5 linked regions of the Macaca fascicularis genome follow. Each later gene encodes a partner of the first gene's protein in a complex. Links are inferred from orthologs where the notes say so. Each region holds a gene or a part of one and is shown in the gene's direction. Other genes may lie near its edges.

Region 1 (2,772 bases):
AGCCTGGGTGACAGAGTAAGACCCTGTCTCAAAAAAAAAAGAAAAAAATTCCAACAACCAGGTATTTATAACAGTGATTACATGCTTGTGAGTTGTAGCCTTTTGAAGGCTGAGGAGGTGACTGCTGAGTGCCCTAGGCTATGTGGGTCTTGTGTCTTGGGAGGGAGCTTGGTGTGATGGAAAGACTTTGGCACCCCACTTGAGTTCATTTCTCAGCTCTATCACTTATTTGTTGAGTAACCTTAATCTCCTTCAGCCTGTTTCCCCATCAGTAGAATAGAGATGATCATGATCATGCCTAGCTCACGGGGTTGCTGCGAGGACTAAATGACATCATGTTTGTTTGTAATGTGCCTTTTTTTTTTTTTTTTTTTTTTTTTTAGACGGAGTCTTGTTATGTCGCCCAGACTGGAGTGCAGTGGCTCAATCTCGGCTCACTACAAGCTCCGCTTCCTGGGTTCACGCCAGTCCCGAGTAGCTGGGACTACAGGCGCCCGCCACCACGCCCGGCTAATTTTTTTATATTTTTAGTAGAGATGGGGTTTCACTGTGTTAGCCAGGATGGTCTCGATTTCCTGACTTCGTGATCTGCCCGCCTCAGCCTCCCAAAGTGCTGGGATTACAGGCTTGATACACCGCGCCCAGCCGACCAGTAACCATTTTTAAATGGGATTTTTTATATTGTTAATTACTGTTAAGAATAACTTTGCTGCTATTGCTCCACAGGGCTGACCAATTTGAATATGTAATGTATGGAAAAGTGTACAGGATTGAGGGAGACGAAACTTCTACTGAAGCAGCAACACGCCTGTAAGTTACATAATCTTATGAGGTTCTTTTCCCTCTCTGTGTTCTGAGACTTTGAGCTATGCTCCTGCTTCCTCTGTTGGGTCCCTCTCCTCAGGCACCTCAGACCTAGGTAGGAACTAGAAAGAAATGGTTCTGAGAGCAGTTTCCAGTCTGAAAGGTAGACTGCTCTTTGTCAGGCCCTCCTGGCCCAGCAGTCCAGATGAGAAACTGGTTATCTTACTGTGTAAAGTGCAAAGGAGACTTGCTTCTCCAGAAACAAATGCAGCATTAAGTGATTATCCTATTAGGCTGTGTGTGTGTGTGTGTGTGTGTGTGTGTGTGTGTGTGTGTGTGTGTGTGTGTTTTGCTACTCTGTAACCCAATCCCTAGTTCCTTGGTTTTCCTGTCCAGCTATTTTTTCTTTTCTTTAAAATCTTATTAAAACAATATGTGCTTTTTGTAAGCAATTTGAAATGCAGAAGAGTAATGTGAAGAAGGAAAAAAAAAAGTCACCTGTAATTCCATACCCAGAGATAACCTTTTACATAGACTTTTTTGCATATCCTGGTGTTCTGTTTTTTCCTTTGAGACTGTGGTGTTTATTATGTTTTCTTCTGCTCTTTTTGCTTAACATTATGTAAAATATGTTTCCCCATGTTAGTGTGAAGCTTTTCTTAAATGTTTTAATAGTTGCATAACATTTCAGTAAGTGGATACATCTTGATTCATTTGACCATTCCCCTGATTTGGGGCATATAGGTGTTTTCCACCTTCGCTAATATAAAGAACAGTGCCTTGCACATATCTTGATCTTTGTCAGAATTTTGGTTCCTAGTGACAAAACAGTAGAAAGATGCCTCTTCTTTTTCTTAGGCTGAGATGGAGAGCTGCTGAGTAGCAGTGCTCCAGACTCATGGGATGGGGCCTTCTGTTTCAGCTCTGCCTATGTGTCCTATGGGGGCCTGCTCATGAGGCTGCAGGGGGATGCCAACAACCTGCATGGATTCGAGGTGGATTCCAGAGTTTATCTCCTGATGAAGAAGCTAGCCTTCTGAACCTCGCCAGAAGCCAGCCTTGCTGCCTAGTCACTCAGGTCATCGGCATTGTTCAAGCCTGAGTGGCAGCCAGTCTTGCTCACCTGTTGAGGAGGGGCTGGCTCACTGTCCACTGTGGTGGCATCTTTAACTGGCCTGCACTCAAAGGGAAACTGACTCGCCTGTGAAAGACAGTGGGAAAGCTGCAAATGAATCAGAAGCTTTGTGTATATGATTTTTAAATTAAACTTTACTTTTTCAGACTGCCCCTCCCCTTTTTGTAAAAAGTTCATTTACTGTAAAATCATTTTTTTGCAATTTGTCTGTGGTGTACTGTTTCTGGCCCACAGCCAGCTGATCACTTGTCAATGTAGGATCTATTCCAGCCTTTTGGTATCTGGGTTCAGGGTTATCTCAGTCTCCTGGCTGACTGTTCTCAACATTTATCCTCCAATGCGGTTTTCCGTTTGGGAGAGAGTGTTGTACTTTTGGCTCCTGAGGGTACCCCAGGCCCAGAAGATACCACCCATTTGGCGCGGAATTTTGAATTGGCAAGGAGCCCTGCTCGGGTCCTTCCAGCACTTTCAGGCTCTTAGGAAGTCAGTTCACGCTGACTTGATTGAGTCGCTTGCATAGTCTAGAAATGTTCATTATTTTTATGGAAGATGTGCACAGAGGCTTTTAGCCTTTTAGGCATGGGAGATGACTATGAAGAGAGTAGGAGGAGAGGACTTGGTGGTTCTGGAAGCAGCTGGAGGAGCTGGCTCTCTACATTCCAGTGGGAGGGAGGGTAAGTGGAAGTGGACAGGGCAGCAATACCAATGAAGCTGGCGGGCCAGAGCCAGGACAATGTGGCGGCCTGACTACAGTCACTAACTTATGAGTGGGGGAAGAAAAACATTAAGGAAATGGCTCTGATGATAAGGACTCCTTCAGCATGTGAGCTGGC
Region 2 (4,926 bases), on another chromosome or scaffold:
CCAAATTCTCAAAATTAATGATTTGTTGATTGCTGATGATCCTTGACACATAATATCTGAGCATCTTTTTAAATATCTGCCATAACATTGTATCTATCTTTTTATTAAATCATTTCCCAGTCTTCCTTGAAGTTTACAGATATGTTTGCTTTATATGTATGTTCTGAGCTCTCACATTTTGCACCTCCTGGCACAATTTTATTGTATTCTAATTATTCATTCATGTTCCTTGAGGTCAAAGAACACAGATTTCAACTTTGCAGGTTCAGCCTCAGCTCAAAACCTGGCATAGTTGCTCAATAAATACTTTATTGAATAGATTGTGAGCTTCTGTTGGGAAAAGGATATGCCTTTCAATGCTTTGTTCTTTACTGCAACTCACAGGGGATGTTGGGTGAGTGTTTTTCAAATTAAAAAGAGAAAATTGAGAAGGGTAGAATTTCAAGTTCCATTTTCAAAGGAGACACACAGATAAGTGAGAATAAAAACTGTCTACGACAATCAGCTCAACAACACATCTCCCTTTGTCAGACAGAATAACAAGCAATTTCACAGTTAAGTGATAGGGCTTGTCACTCTTCAGCAGTTTGCTGAGTTTTAACCCTTTAACTATGGTGTTCTCTCCATTATCACAGAGAAAGGCAGATGGGAGCCTCTCCCAGCGAAAAGACTACAGCTTGTGTCCTTCACAGGACAAAATAGTGATGGCTCCAGAACTTTCATATGAAGGAACTTAGCACAGCTATCAGAGTGGGTGGTGGTGGGAGGACTAGCATGAAACTAGTAAACAACGACAAGCTGCCCCTTCAGGGAAAGTTTCTACTTCGAATATAAGTTACAGAGTAACGAAAATAGCAAGATTTCCGAAAGAAACTTATTCCCATGTTTTATAAAAGATCAGGGAAATGTCAGCTGTCCACTTAATGGATGACGAATAATGAATTAAGAGTTCGATAAGCGGCAGGCACAACTAAAAGCCAAACTCGACCTAAGTCTTATGAAATCCTACTTAATGAGCTTCTTGACTACTGCTAGCCTCACTTATCTGGCAGGAGTCGAAGGAGGGGAAGCCCCAAGCTCTTCTGTTCTACCACCTCCAAAGTCCTGAGCCCCTTCTCAAGTGTCCCACTTCATCCCTGCTTCCTTTCGTCCCGTGGGACTAAGGATTCCTCTGGCCTTCACCCTCACCACTTGCTGTCCCTCAAGAAGCCGACTCACCCCTTTCCAAGCGCGGTGAACCGTCCGCAAAGCACAGGCCGGCTGCGCTCTGCAGAAAGCCCACGCTCGCCAGCGGGACCCAAGGAACGCTAGAACTATACATGCCAGAACACTTAGCTTTGTTTTTAACTACTGTGCAGCCGCAAAAGGGAAATACCAGCTCAGGACCCAGGGGAGTTGTAGTTCTCTAATCCAAAGAAGTCATTATTCAGCAAAGTACGGTTTTCAGGAGGATATTCCCCCGCGATTGGGTTCCCGTAGGATGTGAAACAGAGAATAAATATCCCAGGATTCGGTGCTGGTGGGAAAATTTGCTGGAAGCGCAGCATTGGTTACCAATTTTGTGCTCAACGTCTCAGTACCAGCCTGAAAGTTGAGCCCCAACCTCCCTTAGAAGAGGTGACTCTCCATCTCTAAGGCTTCCGAGACACGGTTCGCAATTAATTATGACGTCACAGCCAATCGTCAGCGTGAAAGCGTGACGCTCTAGCCGGCTCTAGCTCGCTGCCCCGCCGCGGGCGCAGAGCTGGCGCTCTAGCCCACGGAGTTGGCCAGCTCCTCTCGCCGGCCCCAGGAAAGGGTTCCAAGTCCTTTTAGTACCCGACGCTGTCTGGGAGTTCCGGGCGTTTCGGCTCCTTGGTCGCAGAGGCAGGAGGCGTGCGTGGGAGGAGGACTCGGGTTATATACTCCTACGTCCTGGGACGGAATAGTTACCAACTCTGGGGCAGGAACTCTTCTCTCTTTTGTTAATAAACTTCTAACTCCCTCCTCAGACCCGACTGCATGTCTGTCATGGACCTCGCCGGTACTTGCTCCAGCTTTCAGTCGGACTTGGATTTCTGTTCAGATTGCGGCTCGGTCCTGCCTCTGCCCGGGGCTCAGGATACGGTCACCTGTACTCGCTGTGGCTTCAACATCAACGTTCGGGGTGAGAGGCTTGTACACAGGGGTCCTGGCGGAGGGCCCAGGATCGGAAGCTTGGGGAACTCAAGATAGGTTGGGTTCAGAAGGGGATCCTAGAGCAGGACATCAGGCAGTTGTACATTTGGTCCAGCGATGAAAACTGAGGGAAAGGATATAGGGCCTCCTGGCCTAACCAGCCAGGGGAGAGGGGAAGTTTCCGGTGTCAGCTCCCTCAGGTTGTCTCCATAACCAGTCTTACTTGCCTGTGCAGACTTTGAGGGGAAGGTTGTGAAGACTTCAGTTGTGTTCCACCAACTGGGGACAGCCATGCCTATGTCGGTGGAGGAAGGGCCTGAGTGCCAGGGACCTGTGGTAAGTTAATGAGATCAAGAACTGGCTCCATAAGGTGGGTAGGAAAGAAATGGAGGAGTGATTGCAGAGATCTGGAGAGTTTTGTGCCCAATTCCAAGTGGGAAAAGATGTAAAGCATCGATGTTTGAGAGGCGTGATCGCCTGGTTCCTGTGGGAAGTAAGGGTATGATATGACCAGGCCTCCATAACCCACCAGTTTCTTCCCAGGTTGACAGGCGCTGCCCTCGATGTGGTCATGAAGGAATGGCATACCACACCAGACAGATGCGTTCAGCCGATGAAGGGCAAACTGTCTTCTACACCTGTACCAACTGCAAGTGGGTATCCTTTCCCCTCCCTTTGCTCAGTCTGTTTGCTAACTAATAAACAAATCCAGTGATTTATTTTTTTGTACTAAACGGCTGTGTCCTTTCGTCCCATCCCTTATTTCTGTGCAGTTCTGGTAAGAGGGAGATTTGTAGTTTTTATTTTTTTAAATTACACTTTTTTAACCCTTTTTGTAACCAGTGAAATAAACCTTTTAGGTTTTTGTTTTGTTTTTTTTTTTTTTTTTTAAATGGACAGGGTGTTGCTCTGTCACCTAGCCTGGAGTGCAGTGAGGCAATCTTGGCTCACTGCAACCTCCGCCTCCTGGGCTCAGGTAATCCTCCCACCTCAGCCTCCAAAATAGCTTTGGGACCACAGGCACGTGCCACCACACCTGGCTTTTTGTTTTGTTTTGTTTTTTGTATTTTTAGTAGAGATAGGGTTTCTCTCTGTTTCCCAGGCTGGTCTTGAACTCCTGAGCTCAATCAACCCACCTCAGCATCCCAAAGTGCTGGGGATTACAGGCATGAGCCACCCTGCCTGACCTTCTTTTAGGATATTTAAAAGGAAATGAAGAAAAAAAACCATAAGAAGCAAGTATTGTTTAGTGGTCAGCGTCTTATACTGCAGTCTTCAACCGCAGTCAAGGTAGCTTTACTTTGGAGAGAATTAGTCACACATGATTTAGAGAACATGGGCTTTCTGAATGCTTTTAAGACCTCATCTTTGTCTTTGGTGTTCTGCAGTCACTATAGTATATCAAAATGTGATTTTCTTTTATTCTGTTTGGGATTTGTTGGACTTTCTGAAACTGAGAGTGCATTGTTGTTTTTTGTTTTGTTTTGTTTTTTTGAGACGGAGTCTCGCTCTGTCTCCCAGGCTGGAGTCCAGTGGTGTGTTCTCGGCTCACTGCAAGCTCCGCCTCCCGGGTTCACGCCATTCTCCTGCCTCAGCCTCCTGAATAGCTGGGACTACAGGTGCCCCCCACCACGCCCGGCTAATTTTTTGTGTTTTTTAGTAGAGACGAGATTTCACTGTGTTAGCCAGGATGATCTCGATCTCCTGACCTCGTGATCCACCCGCCTCGGCCTCCCCAAGTGCTGGGATTACAGGCGTGAGCCACTACGCCCAGCCTAGAGTGGATTTTTTTTTCATCAACCTTGGAAAATTATCAGCCATCATCTCTTTTAATATTCTCTTTCCCCCATGTTCTCAGTCCTCACATTCTGGACCTCTAATTAGTTACTAGAATGAGATTTCTCTCTTCTGTCCTCCATTTCTCTCGCCCTCTTTTCATATTTTCAATCGCTTTTCTCTTTATGCCACCTTCTGAGTAATTTCTTCAGGTTCCTCTTCCATGTCACTAGTTCTGTCTTCAGTTTATTTCAAATATTATTATTTTTTACTATTGTTATTATTTTGAGTTCTATTTAATTACTTTTCAAATCTCAATTTTTAAATAATTCTCAGTTCCTTAATCATATTTTAAATTGTTCCTTTTACTAGTCTTTAAATATATAAAATATTAAATATAGTTATTATATTCTATGTCTCATAATTCTGATATCCATGGATTTTGTGTGTCTGATGCTGCTGTCTGTTTCTGCTGTCTCTCTCATAGTGCTTTTTTCTTTGTTTTGTAATTTTTGACAATAAATTTGAGTTTTTTAGAACTTGAACTGTAGGAATTCTTTGAGGCCTTGGGTAAGTGCTGTATTCTCAGCATTTGTGTTTCTTTTCTAGGTGCCTTGAAGCACTATCAAGCTGGAATTACTTTAAATAAATTCTTGGCTTCATGTTTTTTGGAGCACACAGATAGTATGAATTTGAGCTGCAAATCCATGTAAGGGCTAGCTTATGGCTAGAAATTCTCAGGAAAGAGTTTTCTCTCTTTCTACCTACTGAGACAGTCAAATTCCCCTTCTATAGAGTTGAATTTTTTCTTTTGTTGTTCACTTTTACAAAAAAGGGCAGCCTTTTGCAGTTCCCAAATTTATGCACAGGATCTCCTATCAACCTTACACATTTTGTCCCTCATTTCCTATGCTTCCAGTGACTGTTGCAACAGTATAAAGGGCACCATAGTGTCACTGTCACATTTCATAGGGACATCAGTTTTAACTTCAC
Region 3 (4,813 bases), on another chromosome or scaffold:
GTTCAGAATATCCCCTTATGATCTTTTTAATGTCTGTGGTATTTGTAGTGATGCCCCTACATATTGGTTAGTGATGCCACCGTTATCAGTTACTTTGATTTTCTTTGCTCCATTGCTCAGACTGAAGCACAGTGGCCTGATTATAGCTCACGGCAGCCTTGAGCTCCTGGGCTCAAGCAAACCTCCTGTCTCATCCTCCCAAGTAGCTAGGACTGCAGGTGTGCACCACCAAGCTGGGCTCTTCTTTTCTTTTCGATCAATCTTTCCAGAGTTTATCGAATGTATTAGTCTTTTCAAAGAGTTAATGTTAGTTTGTCGAGACTCTTTTCTTAAAAAATATCTTTTAAGCTGGGCGCGGTGGCTCACGCCTGTAATCCTAGCACTTCGGAAGGCCGAGGCGGGCAGATCACTTGAGGTGAGGAGTTCGATATCAGCCTGGACAACATGGTGAAACCCCGTCTCTACTAAAAATACAAAAATTAGCTGGGCGTGGTGGCACGTGCCTGTAATCCCAGGTACTTGGGATGCTGAGGCAGAAAAGAGAATTGCTTGAACCTGGGAGGTGGAGGTTGCAGTGAGCTGAGTTGGTGCCATTGAACTCCAGCCTATAGAGATGAGGACTCAATATGTTGGGCAGGCTGGTCTCCAACTCCTGCCCTCCAGCAATCCTCTGGCCTTCACCTCCCAAAGTGATGGGATTACAGGCACCAGCCACCACAGCCTCTGTGGAGCCTCTCTATCGAAGCTTGCTTTCTCTTTTTTAAACATTTCCTTCATCCCATTATTTTTCAGTTTAACCTTTTTTCTAACTTCTTGAGATATATGATTATATCAAAAGATCTTTCTTGAACATCCCATTTCAGACTGAAACCACTCTCCTCTTTTTCTCCTTGGCACTCACCACCATTTAACATACCACATATTTTCCTCATTTATTTTTGTCTCTCCCCATCAGAATGGAATCTCCACGAAGGCAAGGACTTTTGTTTACTGCTGAATCCCCCGGACCGAAACCAGTTCCTGTTTAATAAATAAAACAAGGAATGAATGTGTTAAATGAAGAAACAATAAGAGCTAAATTTATTGAGCAGTTACTGAGACTCAATTATATTCACTCATGCATTTATTTATTCAGTTATTTACTTATTTAGAGAAGGGGTCTCGCTTTGTTGCCCAACTCCTGGCCTCAAGCAATCCTCCCAGCTCAGCCTCCCCAGGATTACAGGCGTGAACCACCACGCCTGGCGGAGACTCAATTATAAGGGGCTCACAGATAACATCTAATTCTTACAGAGGAGGAAACTGAGGCACAAGTAAGCAGGAGAGCCGTGATTGGAAACCTAGGTCTAACTCACGGCCCGTGAGCTTTCCTCCAAGTCCCGAGGCTTCCCCTTAAAAAAGCCAGCGAGGGATGAGACCCGGAGGGCAGAACCCACAGAGGGCGGAGCCCACGGAGGACAGAAACCGCGCTCGCGAGCTCGGCCTTGCGCGGCCCCTAGCAGCCAGACGAGCAAGCCGGCCTTGGAATGAATGACCTTCGGAACGGAGCTTGATCGAATCACTCAGCAGTAGGCGTCGCCCACTTTCTTATTGGTTGGTTTTGGTTCTCAAGAGTAGGAAACGAAGATAGTCCGCGAGGGGGCTGCGGACTTCGCGGAGCCTCGCCCCCGGGCGCGCTGGTTCCCGGGGGCGCTGGTTCCCTGCCGCGCAGGCGCACGGAATCCTCGGCTCGGATCTCGCGTTTCCGGCCGTAGGGCTTCTCCCGCCTCTCCCGGAAGCTGCGCTCGCTACCCGGGTAACGGGTCCCGGCTGTGAAGCTTCCGCGGCGCCCCGATGGACCTCGAGGAGGCGGTAAGGAGGCGGTGCGCCTGGCGGGCCCCTACTGCCGGGGCCGGAGGGGAGAAAAGCTGAGGAGGAGCGGCGGAGAACGCCTCGGGTTGGGGCGGCCACCGGTTGGAGGAAGGCGGGGCGGAGGGCTGCGGGGCGGGGTGACGACTGGGCGCTGGCCGGCCGCATGCGCGGGCGGCGTTGGTAAAGAGGCTGGAGTTTCTGGCTCGGCGAGGTTGTGGGCGAGGGAGGGTGTGGGGTTTGTCGTTATGGATGTTTGTGTTTAAGGATGAAGTTGTGGGTTTTGTGGGGTGGCCACCCACAGGGCTCATCCTCTAGACTGGACCACCCACAAGTTCCCTTTAATGCTGGGGTGGGTGAAGGGGGAGCAGGGTTTGGAACCTGAGATGCCCCCGGGTAACCCCTGTCGGTCTCTCCGGGAATCCTCGCCGCTGTCTCCTGCAGGGATTCTGAATTCGGGTTTGGGAACTCCCCCAATTTTCCAGCTGTCATTTATCGTAGTGTTAGTACGGGGTCATTGAACACTTTACCAAGTTGCCAAAATTAATTTGGCATGCACTTTTTTTTTGTTTTAGGTGCTACGTAAAATGGCACATTTTTGTTTTTTTCTTTTTGAGACAAGGTCTCACTTTGTCCCCCAGGCTGGAATGCAGTGGCACATCACGATCACGGTTCACTGCAGCCTCGACCTCCTGGGCTCGAGAGATCCTCCCGCCTCAGCCTTCCAATTAGCTAGTACTGCAGAGGTGCGCCACCACTCCCGGCTAATTTTTTTTTTTTTTTTTTTTTGGTAGGGGCAGGGGTCTCGCTATGTTGTCCAGACTGGTATTGAACTCCTGGGCTCAGGCGATCTTCCTGCCTCAGCCTTTGCAAAGTGCTGGGATTACAGGGATGAGCCCCCGCACCCGGCCAAATGGCAAATGGCACACACTTTGATGGTATTAAATGGTACTTGATAATTAGATCAACGCTAACAACAAGTCAAACTCCAAAGAGTTGGGAATCAGAGAATTAGGCCTGTATATACGGAAGCAGTACGGCCTTATAATACGGGCTTAAAAAATGTTTATTGAATGATGGTTGGCTAACTTCTGTAGATGCTAGGCTGATGAAATTAATCATTGTAACTCACCATTAGCTAGTGTATCCCCAGACTAGGGACCATGTCTGGTCTGTTCTGCTCACCATTGAATCCCCAGCACTTAGTAAAAAGCCTAGTACACCCAGAGTTGATACTCTTTATGCTCCCCAGTGGATAAATCGAAACTGGAAACCAGTACAAATCTAGTTCCTCTGTGGTATGCGCTTTTAGTGTCCTGGAGGAGTTCCAAATGGTATTTGCATTTTTAAAGTCTTCTCTATACTTATTTGTCATCTTCTTTCTCACAGAATTTTCAAGGAGCTTTGTTTACTCATCTTTGGTTCCAGTTTACCCCTACTACCTCCTTTTCTTTATTTTTCCTCTCACATTGCATATTTCAATAAATTTTCTCCAGCAGTTTAATTCGATTTCATACCGCTCCTCTCCTTGTTTGCAGATAATCTCTCTGATATATTTTCTATTGTGTATGATTTTTTGTTTATAAAGTTGCAAGGAACACACTAAGTAGAACTGCAGGGTTTAGGTACGATGTATTGAATGTGGCTTGATGGGAACACCTTTTCTGTCCTCTTCTCCCATAGGAAGAGTTTAAAGAACGCTGCAGTCAGTGTGCTGCTGTCTCATGGGGCCTTACTGATGAAGGCAAATATTATTGCACTTCTTGCCACAATGTTACAGAGGTAAGTAACAAATACCATTTATGAGTTTGCTTATGTTTTAAAAATTACTATTTCAACCTGCTATGTAGTCTAAGTCCCAAAGAATTTGGTTAATTTTTGTCACTCGTGCAATGCCAACATTCCAAGGATGTGAGTGGTCTTGGGTACTTACACATAGGTTAAGGGATTTGTGAATTAGATTGAGGATGAGTTTTTGAAATTATGTTGGGCCACATTTATAAATGATTTCTTATTCAGAGTATATGGTTGAGGGAAATAATTAAAATTGTACTTAGAAGATGATGCATTTCTTTTTATTAGTACTTATTTACATTTTTAAAATGTGTCATGGTGGCTTAGAGGTTTGGAAGATGGAATGTTAGAAAACTTGAGGACTGGGCTGGGCGCGGTGGCTTATGCCTATAATCCCAGCACTTTGGGAGGCTGAGGCAGGTGGATCACCTGAGGTCAGGAGTTCGAGACCAGCCTGGCCAACATGGGAAAACCCCGTCTCCACTAAAAATACAAAAATTAGTCGGGCGTGGTAGCATGCGCCTGTAGTCCCAGCTACTCAGGAGGCTGAGGCAGGAGAATTGCTTGAACCTGGGGGCAGAGGTTGCAGTGAGATGAGATCACGCCACTGTACTTCAGCCTGGGCAACAGAGCAAGACTCCATCTAAAAAAAAAAAAGCTTAAGGACTGTTGGGAATGTTGGAACTACACTTCATTATCCTTTTATCTTTGTATAGTACCGTACAGATTACAAAGTGTTTTTGGATTCATTATCTCATTTCCTCCTCATCACCAATGTGAGAGCCTATTGATAGGGCTCACAATTTGAGTGAGTTTGCCAAAGTTACCCAAGTTCCAGGACTTGAATATGAGTCTTCTGACTTCAGCGTTCATTTTACCCATCTTGTCATACTGTCCTGTGTAACCTTGGTAAAGGAGGCTACCTTCACGTTGTGAGGGCTAGGTCCTATTGTGGTGAACACACCTGCAGGCCAGCATCACCAAAATAATCAAGGGTGTAGAGAGTCTGCTAGTAGACGGGCTAAATGTGGCCAGGACTCTCCTCTGTGGAAAAGGATTTCCTCAAATCTACAGAGCCAGGAAGGGACAAATGTTACCTTCACCGTACGGGCTTAAGAAAGGCAAATTTGGGACGATAAAAGTAACTGTAGACTTCTGCTTCTGGCTGAGA
Region 4 (4,628 bases), on another chromosome or scaffold:
GCTGGGATTACAGGTGTGAGCCAGTACGCCTAGCCCACCATGCCTCACTTTTAGTGCAGTGTGATCCTACACAAATTGCCCTGTGTATATTCCAAGGGCCAATCTGGGTTTGTAAGGCCAGAAACATGTGCAATTGCGGGGTGAGGGGTAGGTGGTCGGTGGCTCTTTTGACAAAAAAAAAAAAAAAAAAAAAATGAAAACAAAATTAAGTTCAGGGTCTTGGGCAGGTCCTCAAAGTTAGGGGCCTAGAAGCTGAAATTAATCTACGAGTGGTAAATCCGCCTCTCCTATATGCCAGTGCCCCCAAAAACAAACAAACAAACAAACAAAAACAGGACACACCAGATCTTGACAGGGCTTCCTCCCTGTTTGTGAAACGTGACAGAAGTGGGATCTGGAAGTCCTGGGAAAACAATCTCATTTCTCCCAGGAGACAAGAGGAATTACAGCAGCAAAGAGGCAGGCCGAGTGGAGGAGAAGGCTGCATGCCAGGGGAGAGTCGAAAGGGGCTGGGTGATCCAGCTGGCCGAGATGCGGGAAGTAGAGCCTCGGTGTGGGAGACTGGCAGCCTGAGAGCCAGGAGCAATGGCGCTGCCCCAGAAGCGGTGGCTGGAGGCTGGGCCTGCTGGAAGCAGGCTTCCTTCAGATGGTCTTCTGGCTCCCTGCGTCCTGTCCTGATAACCTTTCCTCTGAAAAGGGGAGGCAAAGACAGACAACCACAGCCATGGTAGTGGGAGGGTGGGTGGTGGACCCCGTCCAGGCCTTTCATCCCCGGCCTGCAGTTTAGTGAACCGGGAGACGTCTCGTCGGAGGCTGCTCCGCTGCCGCCCGGAGCAGCGAGAACCGGGTGCTGGGCTCCCCTCGCGGCTGCCCGCCGCCGCCGGGGGGCAGCGCCTGCGGCCTGCTTTCCCAGGGCCGGCCGAGGCTTTTTGACAAGCTGATTGCGTGGCGGGGATTGGCTGGTCCGGGCGTGACGCCGGTAACAACAAAGGTGGAGTTGGAAGAAATTAGATTAAAGGAGAGAAAAAAAATTAAAGGGGGAGCTGGCAAAAGACAGGAGGTATAGACCGAGGGGGAGATGCGCCAAGTGGTGTCTCCCGGTTCCGACTCCCCCCGCCGCCTCGACCCCAGAAGATCCCTCGCGCAAACCCACTGGGATTTTGCTCTTTCCCCTACCCCCGCCCAGTGACCGACGCCGGGGTAGGAAGGATAGCCGCTTCTTCTTGAAAAATCCCCGCAACTCCCACCCTGACACCCCTCACTACGACCCAGGGGGAGAACTTTTTGCTCGGACTCCTCGGATCCTAAACCCAGCGAAGAGGGGGACATTGATAAGCTCGTCCTTTTAAAACCCGGAAGGCCCTCGCGGAGCATGGAGATCGGATAAGGCGGGGTGCTCCCTCGGTTTTCCGATGTGTTGCAAATCTAAGAGCTTCTTTCTCGCTTTTTTTTTTTTTCCCCTGTAACTACCCCCCCTCCCTTTTGCTTCAGGGTTGCAAAAGCAAAGAGCAATAAAAAAAAAAAAAACCGCGCACACACTCAGACACACACCAGTGGCGACAGGGGAGAGTTGGAAAGACGCAGGAGAGAAGCAGGAGGCAGGAGGCAGCGGGGATGGAGCAATGGGAGCGGGAAGCAGGCAGGTTTCCTTGCAAATCCCCCTCCGGCCTCACGCCGCCTCGCCAGCCCCGGCAGGGGAGCGAGGACCCCGGCGAACAGATGGAGGAGTGGAGCTCGCTCTAGGCAGCTGGGCTTGGCCGGAGAATGGAGGAGCCACCAAGCGACCGGCTGATTGGAAGAGAAACGCAGAGCGATGGAGGCGGGGGTAGGAGGACGATTTCTCTGCGGGGACTGGCGGCGGCGTACACGCCCGGGTCGGGCGCTGCAGAGCTTGGCTGGCTTTCAACCCGCGCTCGCCGGCTCCAGCCCCGCGCGCCCCCACCCCTAGCCCTCCCGGCGGCTCCGCAGGTGAGTGCGAGCTGCGGGCAGAAAGATCCAAAAGTCTCAACACGCCCGCCCTGCAAAAAAGGAAAAAAGAAAAAAAAGGAAGAAAACCATTTTACTTAAAAAAAAATTTTTTTTTTGTGCAACCCCTAAAGCAGTGGGAGGGAAGGGGTGAGGCTGAGCCGCCCGGAGGAGGCGGAGGGGCCAGGCGAGGCCGGGGTGGCCCGGGAGGCGGCGGCGCCGAGGCGGCTCTGACGGGCAAGCGCTCGGAGCGGCGCTGCGCTGCGCCGAGGCGGGCGGGCGGGCGGGCGGAGCGGGGCGGGCGGAGCGCGGCGCGTGGGGCTCGCCATTAGCCGTCGCTCCGCTTCGCCATCTCGGGCTTTGTCTGGCGACTCGCTGCCCCGGCGTCGGCTGCAGCGGAGCTGCGGCTCGGCTGTTCCGCCCGCCGTGCTCCCAGGTGCCCCCGGCCTGCGCTCCCATCCACACGCTCGGTAAGTGAGCCCGGGCGCCGCGGATTTCGGGGGAGAGGGGTTGCTACGAGTGGCGGCGGCACCGATCTCCATGCGCCCGGGCAGGCCTGGGAGCCATGCCGGGCTGGATTGAACCGGCTCCCACAGCGGCCCCTCCGCCGGAGCCCGTCGTTCCCTCGCCGTTTCCGGGGTGTAAAGAGCAACGGGGATTTTTTTTTAATGCAGAGATTTTCGGTTTTGGGTTTTTTTAAAGTTTCCTATGTACCGTTCGGCAATGAGAGGATCGCGAGGTAGGCGCCGAAGCTGGACGCCGCGATCGGCGTGCGTGCGCCCCAAACCAGTGGCCACGCTCCGGGGGATGAGGGTGGGCGCGGACCGCTCGCTCCGGGAGGCGGGAGAGAGCTGGCCTGGAAGCCCCAGTCTGAGCTGGGAGGACTTGGGGGAGAGCTCCGGAGCAGGGCTGTGGGCGCCCCCCAAGCCTTCCTGGCCGCCGGGGGCCCCTCCGGGCACCCTCTCCGCGGCCGCGCCTCGGCCCTCCCTCCCGCGCCGGCAAAGCCTGCTAGTTCCCCCGCGGGTCTGGCGAGGTCGCTCTCGGCGCCCGCCCGCCCGCCCGCCCCGGCTCCGAGCCCCGCCGCCATCCGGGCGGCTGCGTGTCTCCCTGCCCCGGCCCCCCCCTTCCCCGGCGGCGGCGGCGGCGGCGGCAGCAGCAGCAGCAGCAGCCGCCGCCGCCACCAGCACCACCACCACCCCCCTCCCCTCCTTCCTTCCCTCCGCCTCGGCCGCCCGGGTCCCCCCAGCTCCCGCCCCTCCTCCCAGCTGCCCCCCGCGGAGCCCGCCCGGGCAGGCTGTGGGAGGGAGCGGAGCCGGCGAGGCGGGCGGGCTGGCGCTCGCTCCCCGGGGGTCGGTGTGCGCTCTACGGGGAAGGACGCGCTCGCTGCCCCGCTTCTCCCGCCCCCCCTCCCGCTCCTCCTCCTCCCTTCTCCCTCCTCCTCCCCGCTCCGGCGGCTGAGGCTGCGGCGGCGGCGGGGGGTGTGCGAGCTGAGGCCGGGGCCGGCGGCGGGCGGGCTGCCTGCAGGCGGAGGGCGCTGTGCTTTGTGCTTTTCGCCGCGAGGAGCAGCAGGCAGCAGCCACAGCCGCCGCCGCCGCCGCCACAGCAGCAGCAGCCGCCGCCCCAGCGCCGCCGCCTCGCCCGGAGGAGGAGCCGCTGCCGCCGCGGGAGGGAGCTGCGGCTGTGCCCGGCCGAGCGGGGGAGGGCGCCGCCACTCAGAGCCGGGGAGGGAGCCGCCGGAGCGGGAAGCCCGGAGGCCGCGCTGCGCCGGGTAACCGAGGCGGCTGAGGACGCGCGCTGGGTTCGGGGCCGGACAGCAGGGAGCGAACCGCGGGTTGCGGTGGGCGCCCAGCAGGGACCCGGAGCGACCACCGAGCAGGGGACCGGGCGCGAGCAGACCAGGGCACTTGGGAGGACGCCGAGAGCCGGGGGAGGGGAAGGCAGGAAGCGAGGCCTGAGCCGAGCCACGGCCGCTGGCGGAGGAGCCCGCGCTTCTCGGATCCGGCAGGCGCAGTTCTCCCCGGCCGCCGGAGGGGGCGGCGGGGCCGGTGAGCGCTGCGCCCCCGCCTCCCGGCCGCCGTCCTCCCGCCCTCTCCTTGGCTCGGCTCCCCGGAGGCCGGGGCGGGGGCGCCGGCGGGGCTGGGCCGCAGGCTCGGGGGAGGAGGCGGCGGTTCCCGCCGCGGTCGCGCCTCTGTGCCGGGCTCCTCCGTGCGCGTCGGGGTGGCTGGGTGGTGGCGGCGCCTCTGGCCGGGGTGGGTGGCTCGGGGGCGGGGGGCAGGCTAGGCCGCTTCTCTCCGGCTGCTCGCCCGCCTGTGCGGGCGGGGACGGCGAAGGGAGCCCGGGAGGGGGGAGCGGCGGGAATCCGGATCCGGTCCCCGGGGGCGGTGCGGCCGCTGCGCTCCGGGGCTGGCGGCGGCTGCGCTGCGTCCGGGTCCCCGCCGGGTTGCGGAGGCGGGGGGAACCGGCTGGGGGGAGGCGGGAGGAGGAGACTGGGGCGCGTGCCCGCTTCCGTGGCCGCGCGCGCCCTTTACCCGCCCTTCCTCTTCCCCCGCCCTCCAGCCTGGGGCCTCCCCGGGGCGGGCGCTCAGAGGAGGAGGAGATTTTTTTTTTTTGGCTGGGGTTGGGGAAGGGGGGCGGAGAGCGGGCGCTCGCTGCACGCGGGAGCT
Region 5 (4,862 bases), on another chromosome or scaffold:
TTGGCCCTTTGCCTTTCCATATAAATTTTAAGTTCAGCATGTCAAGTTCCATAAAACAATATGGTGATTTTAATTGGCATCACACTGAATTTGTACAATTGAGGAAAACTGACATCATTTTGTTGAGTCTTTCCATCCATGAATACGGTATATCTTACCATTTACTTGGGTCATCTTTTGTGTTCCAACAGAGCCTTACAATTTTCTGTCTAAAGGACTACGCAGCTTTAGGTTGATCTACTTCTAGATAACTTCAGTTTTCAACGCCATTATGAATAGTGTCTTTATTATTAAAACTCCTAGTTAATTGTTACTGATATACAGAAGGTTTTTAAATGCAGAAATTAAGGCAATTTCTGACATCCCCCGGCCAAAATAACCCCTCTAGTCACCCTTTATCACATCACCAAATGGTACTTATTCCTTAACCGATTTGTGTCTCTCTGCCCCAACCAAAATTAGTTACTTGTTCACCATTGTATCCCAAGTGTCTAGAATAATAGCTGGCACACATCAAGTGCACAAAAATGGAACTGATGAGGTCAAGGAAGAGAATGTATGCAAGATGAAAAAAAGCAAATTGAAAGAGGGAACTAAATGGAAGAGCTGGGTTCCTAAGCGATCACATGAACACACACGATGTAAAAAAAAAAAAAAAAAAAACGCAGTATGAGGTCGGGCGCGGTGGCTCACACCTGTAATCCCAGCACTCTGGGAGGCTGACGGGGGCGGATCACCTGATATCAGGAATTCCGGACCAGCCTGGCCAACATGGACAAACCCCGTCTCTACTAAAAATACGAAAATCAGCCGGGCGTGGTAGCGCACGCCCGTAATCCCAGTTACTAGGGAGACTGAAGCAGGAGAACTGTTTGAACCTAGGGGACGGAGGTTGCAGTGAGCGCAGATCGCGCCACTGCACTCCGGCCTGACCGACAGACCGAGACTCCATCTCAAAAAAAAAAAAAAAAAAAAAAAAAAAGAAGGTAGAGCTTAATTCGGGAAGTACAATTTAACCTAAGGAACAGAAAACAAGAATCTCATATCTCAACTAGTAAAAATAATGAGAGTGCTCCTTTAGATTACAGAACAGATTTGGGGAAAGGGAATCACTTCAGAAGCTTCTGGGGTCTTTCACTTTTAAATGACCGTTGCCGAATTTAGAGATCTCTCAGTATTCAATCGTTTCCATCTCTGGGGTTAGAGGGGGAGCCGGAAGCGGTGGTCTGGAAGGCTCAGAAGTGACCGGTGAGGCCCTTTCCTCCTCCTCCTCATTATCTCTCCGTGACTACCGAGCCCGGGAAGAAGGACCGGTAGGTGCACTCCCCGAGGCCTCGACAGCAGCCAGAGAAAGGCAGCGACCGGGAAAGACGAGTCAGGCTCGCGACCACCAGAGAGAGGCCCTCACACCCAGGGGAGCGTCAGCGGGTCGGTCCGGTCCGCGCGCCTTACGGTGGCGCCCGGCCGTGCCCGGCCACTGCCCTCCCCATTCTCCACTCCCCACCGCGCCCAGCTGCTCCGACGCCCCCGTCCGCCCCCACACTAGCCCGGCCTTCACGTCCTACCTGCCGGCACGCAGACTCAACCTGTCCCCAACTGCTCGCCGGACCCAGTTGTCTGGGGAGCCCTCCCCTTTCCTCGGCTCCCGGCCGGGGCCTTCCACCCGGCGGCGGGCGGCTTATGACCCCGCCCCCTCGGCCCTCTCCGGGCCCGCCTACTGCCGGTTCGCTCCACTCACAACAGCGTCCCTAGCGCGATGACGTATAGGCGCAGGCGCACTGTGTCGGCGACGCCGAGGCGCTTCTGCATCTGTGGGCTGAGGTGTGTGGCAAGCGTCCGAGTGGCTGGGGAAAGTGGGGTGTGGGCAGACTGAGGGGTCCCAAAGAAAGAGGGGAAGAAGAGGAAAGCCCAAGAAGCCTGTCCACCGGGTGCTGGGGGCACAGGGCGGTGTCCCCCACTCTCTCCAGGCCCTTCCTGGCGGGGCCGCACTGCAGTTCCGCACTCGTTTAATCGTGGGTTTCCTGTGGGGCTAGGGCTCGCCCTGCGCCCAGGTGTAAGTGGAAGTTAGTTAAGTGGGCGGACGCTGAGTGATTTCTTTCCAGCCTAGGTCCGCACAGGACGTGATTTATTTAGTGAAGGGGCACAAGATCTGGAAACCTGGCTTGTACTTTTTTCCCCTTTCCCCGGGAACTACGGCTTAATCTCTTCCTTTGGTCTCCTCATCTGTAAAATGAGGTGGTTGGGGCCGGGCCCGGTGACTCACGCCTGCAATCCCAGCTCATTGGGAGGCCGAGGCGGGTGGATCACTTGAGGCCAGGAGTTCGAGACCAGCCTGGCCAACATGGTGAAACCCCGTCTCCACTAAAAATACAATAAATTGGCCGGGCACGGTGGCTCACGCCTGTAGTCCCAGCACTTTGGGAGGCCGAGGTAGGTGGATCATTTGAGATCAGGAGTTCAAGACCAGCCTGGCCAACATGGTGAAACCCCGTCTCTACTAAAAATGCAAAAATTAGCCTGGCGTGGTGGCGGGCGCCTGTAGTCCCAGCTGCTCGGAGGCTGAGGCAGGAGAATATCTTGATCTCCGGAGGCAGAGGTTGCAGTCAGCCGCCATCACGCCACTGCACTCCAGCCTGGGCGACAGAGCGAGACTCTGTCGCAAAGTATATGTGTGTGTGTGTATATATATATATACACAATACAATACAATAAATTAGCTGGGCTTGGTAGCTCTTGCCTGTAGTCCCAGCTACTCGAGAGGCTGAGGTGGGAGAATGGCTTGAACCTGGGAGGCAAGAGGTTGCAGTGAGCTGAGATCGCACCACTGCACTCCAGCCTGGGCGACAGAGCCAGCCCTGTCTCAATAAAATAAAATATAAACTAAAAGGAGGTGGTTGGGCTCACTGTGTAATTTTTGAAGCACCTTTCAGAACTATCTTTGAGTCCTGTCTCCCAGGATCTTACCCTTTGTCATTCTCCTGAATGGGAAAAGAAATCCTTTGAATAACGGACAGTTTACACCTGGGTTGGGCACACTGGTGTAGAGTTAGGCTGCTTGCTTCTATTAGGGCTAATTGACCTTGGGTAGAGTTGGTTGGCAAGTAAGATGTGGCAATATTCCAAGTAGACTCATTTTAATTTTGTTAAAAAATCAGAATGTCTCTTAATGTTAACTGTCTTTCATAGACTTAACTGTTAAATATTGACACTTAATTATTTTGCCTCATTTCAGAGGCAGTCCCCAAAGTATATGAAAGTTAATGATTTTTAATTCAGTGTTACCTTCTTCTTTTTATTAGCATTCTTGAGGTCATCTGAACCTTCTGACTAAGAAAACATGGTCAACGTCTTGAAAGGAGTGCTTATAGAATGGTTAGTAGTTTTGATACTTCATGAGTTTTAAGTTTAAATATTGAATCTTGACTTACGTGTGTGTCCTTTCTAAAACCCTGTTGTTTTTAAGATATGAATGAAATCAAGTCTTTCACTTTTAACAAGTGGCACAGATTTTGTTGCAAAGTTCCTAGTGCCAGATTTCAGTCCCTCTGTTGAATTGATGGAACTGGCATGATCAGAGGCAGCATATTTGTTAGATGAGTCATCTTTAGAGGAACAGTGCTTGCATTCTCCTCAAACATGACTAGAATTTTAGGTCCTGAAAGAGTTCAGGAACTTGCTTAAGTCTTTACCATTACAAACTGTAGACTTTAAAGAGAAAAACAAGAGAGCCAAGTGGAGAAGGTTTCTTAAATTCCTTTAGATACATTCCAGAGGAGAAACTAAAAACCATAAATGGGCAGGGTTGAGGTCCTCAAAGCAATCCAATGTCTAGGAACCCTGCTCTGTGGACACTCCCATTGTCTGAAAATACTACTGTCTACCTTTCTGTGCCTCTAATATGAGCCAGTGCATGGATAATGATACTGTTTACTGTGATGGCAAAGCTGAGGAGGAGAAGGACCAAACCCTTGGACACTGCCAACAACATAAGCTCATGCATTATGATTAGTGTATGATAGTGGTGAAGGCTGCTTTTGTCACCATCTTGGTTCTGGCTGGTTTCTTTACTGTATCCTCGCTTATCAGTCGGGTCTTCTGACCTGTTGTTTACTGTCTCTCCTGTCTTAGAAACTAGTTCTGCTGAATTCCTATCTCACAGCTGCTTCCACTGTCCCAGGAATCTCTCCAATTTGAATCTCTCCAAATTCCAGTCCCATCATTGTATTAATATAAGCTAATGTGTAATAACTTATATAGTGCTGTTCCACATATATCTTAAGTTGGCTTCACTTACTGCCATATTTAAGCTCCATTTCTATCAGTTATGTTTAACTGATTTTTAAGTCTGCAGAGATTTGCTAAAGAAGTAAACCAAATTATGATGATGGCCATTTATTCTGACCTTCAGTGAATTGAAAAATCAGGGCACTTGGATATAGTTAAATTCTTAACTCCCAAGGGCTTATCACATACTAAAATTGAAGGCTATAAAAAAAAGTTTTATGTTTATAAATTTACATTTTTATGTCAAAACTGAAAGGTTGGTGAAAACTTCCTCTTTGTTGGGATCCACCATTAACTGCCAGGCTCACAGTAAGTATTCTCCCAAGTCTAGCCTCCCAAGCAATTCCCAAAGCAAGCAACACATGACCACAGTATGTCTGTGTCCAGTTCCAGATGCTGGAGCAGACCTCTGGTTTAACAGTTGCCACAATTGGTTTGGCAAGTGCTTCAGCAAAAATTTGTTGGCAAGGTGCAAATTCCAACCAGTTTACATCACAATAGCAAAGAATCTGGAGAAATATGTATTATTAAACCACCCTTATCCTTATGAGTTTGGCTTCTAAACCTGTATTGTTTCT

What was found.
Region 2: POLR2H (region 1) and POLR1H share a complex: the UniProt entries of both Homo sapiens proteins name them as parts of the pol I pre-initiation complex. The link is inferred for Macaca fascicularis from reciprocal best matches to the Homo sapiens genes POLR2H and POLR1H.
Region 3: POLR2H (region 1) and TAF1B share a complex: the UniProt entries of both Homo sapiens proteins name them as parts of the pol I pre-initiation complex. The link is inferred for Macaca fascicularis from reciprocal best matches to the Homo sapiens genes POLR2H and TAF1B.
Region 4: POLR2H (region 1) and UBTF share a complex: the UniProt entries of both Homo sapiens proteins name them as parts of the pol I pre-initiation complex. The link is inferred for Macaca fascicularis from reciprocal best matches to the Homo sapiens genes POLR2H and UBTF.
Region 5: POLR2H (region 1) and GTF2H5 share a complex: the UniProt entries of both Homo sapiens proteins name them as parts of the TBP-based Pol II pre-initiation complex. The link is inferred for Macaca fascicularis from reciprocal best matches to the Homo sapiens genes POLR2H and GTF2H5.

Annotation. Positions count from the first base shown.
Region 1 is NC_088376.1:96,289,401-96,292,172, forward strand, and holds the end of POLR2H (DNA-directed RNA polymerases I, II, and III subunit RPABC3), read left to right. Parts: intron 1-726; coding exon 727-810; intron 811-1,726; coding exon 1,727-1,844; 3' UTR 1,845-2,141; downstream 2,142-2,772. UniProt on the Homo sapiens protein: DNA-dependent RNA polymerase catalyzes the transcription of DNA into RNA using the four ribonucleoside triphosphates as substrates.
Region 2 is NC_088378.1:142,602,468-142,607,393, reverse strand, and holds the start of POLR1H (DNA-directed RNA polymerase I subunit RPA12), read left to right. Parts: upstream 1-1,839; 5' UTR 1,840-1,866; exon of another isoform or gene 1,867-1,875; intron 1,876-1,991; 5' UTR 1,992-2,001; coding exon 2,002-2,146; intron 2,147-2,392; coding exon 2,393-2,493; intron 2,494-2,700; coding exon 2,701-2,810; intron 2,811-4,926. UniProt on the Homo sapiens protein: Core component of RNA polymerase I (Pol I), a DNA-dependent RNA polymerase which synthesizes ribosomal RNA precursors using the four ribonucleoside triphosphates as substrates. Can mediate Pol I proofreading of the nascent RNA transcript.
Region 3 is NC_088387.1:112,232,077-112,236,889, reverse strand, and holds the start of TAF1B (TATA box-binding protein-associated factor RNA polymerase I subunit B), read left to right. Parts: upstream 1-1,726; 5' UTR 1,727-1,833; coding exon 1,834-1,851; exon of another isoform or gene 1,852-2,062; intron 2,063-3,531; coding exon 3,532-3,630; intron 3,631-4,813. UniProt on the Homo sapiens protein: Component of RNA polymerase I core factor complex that acts as a GTF2B/TFIIB-like factor and plays a key role in multiple steps during transcription initiation such as pre-initiation complex (PIC) assembly and postpolymerase recruitment events in polymerase I (Pol I) transcription.
Region 4 is NC_088390.1:65,276,475-65,281,102, reverse strand, and holds the start of UBTF (nucleolar transcription factor 1), read left to right. Parts: upstream 1-1,541; 5' UTR 1,542-1,968; intron 1,969-2,320; exon of another isoform or gene 2,321-2,435; intron 2,436-3,256; exon of another isoform or gene 3,257-3,314; intron 3,315-3,679; exon of another isoform or gene 3,680-4,010; intron 4,011-4,073; exon of another isoform or gene 4,074-4,214; intron 4,215-4,628. UniProt on the Homo sapiens protein: Recognizes the ribosomal RNA gene promoter and activates transcription mediated by RNA polymerase I (Pol I) through cooperative interactions with the transcription factor SL1/TIF-IB complex.
Region 5 is NC_088378.1:66,517,321-66,522,182, forward strand, and holds the start of GTF2H5 (general transcription factor IIH subunit 5), read left to right. Parts: upstream 1-1,775; 5' UTR 1,776-1,821; intron 1,822-3,299; 5' UTR 3,300-3,337; coding exon 3,338-3,372; intron 3,373-4,862. UniProt on the Homo sapiens protein: Component of the general transcription and DNA repair factor IIH (TFIIH) core complex, which is involved in general and transcription-coupled nucleotide excision repair (NER) of damaged DNA and, when complexed to CAK, in RNA transcription by RNA polymerase II.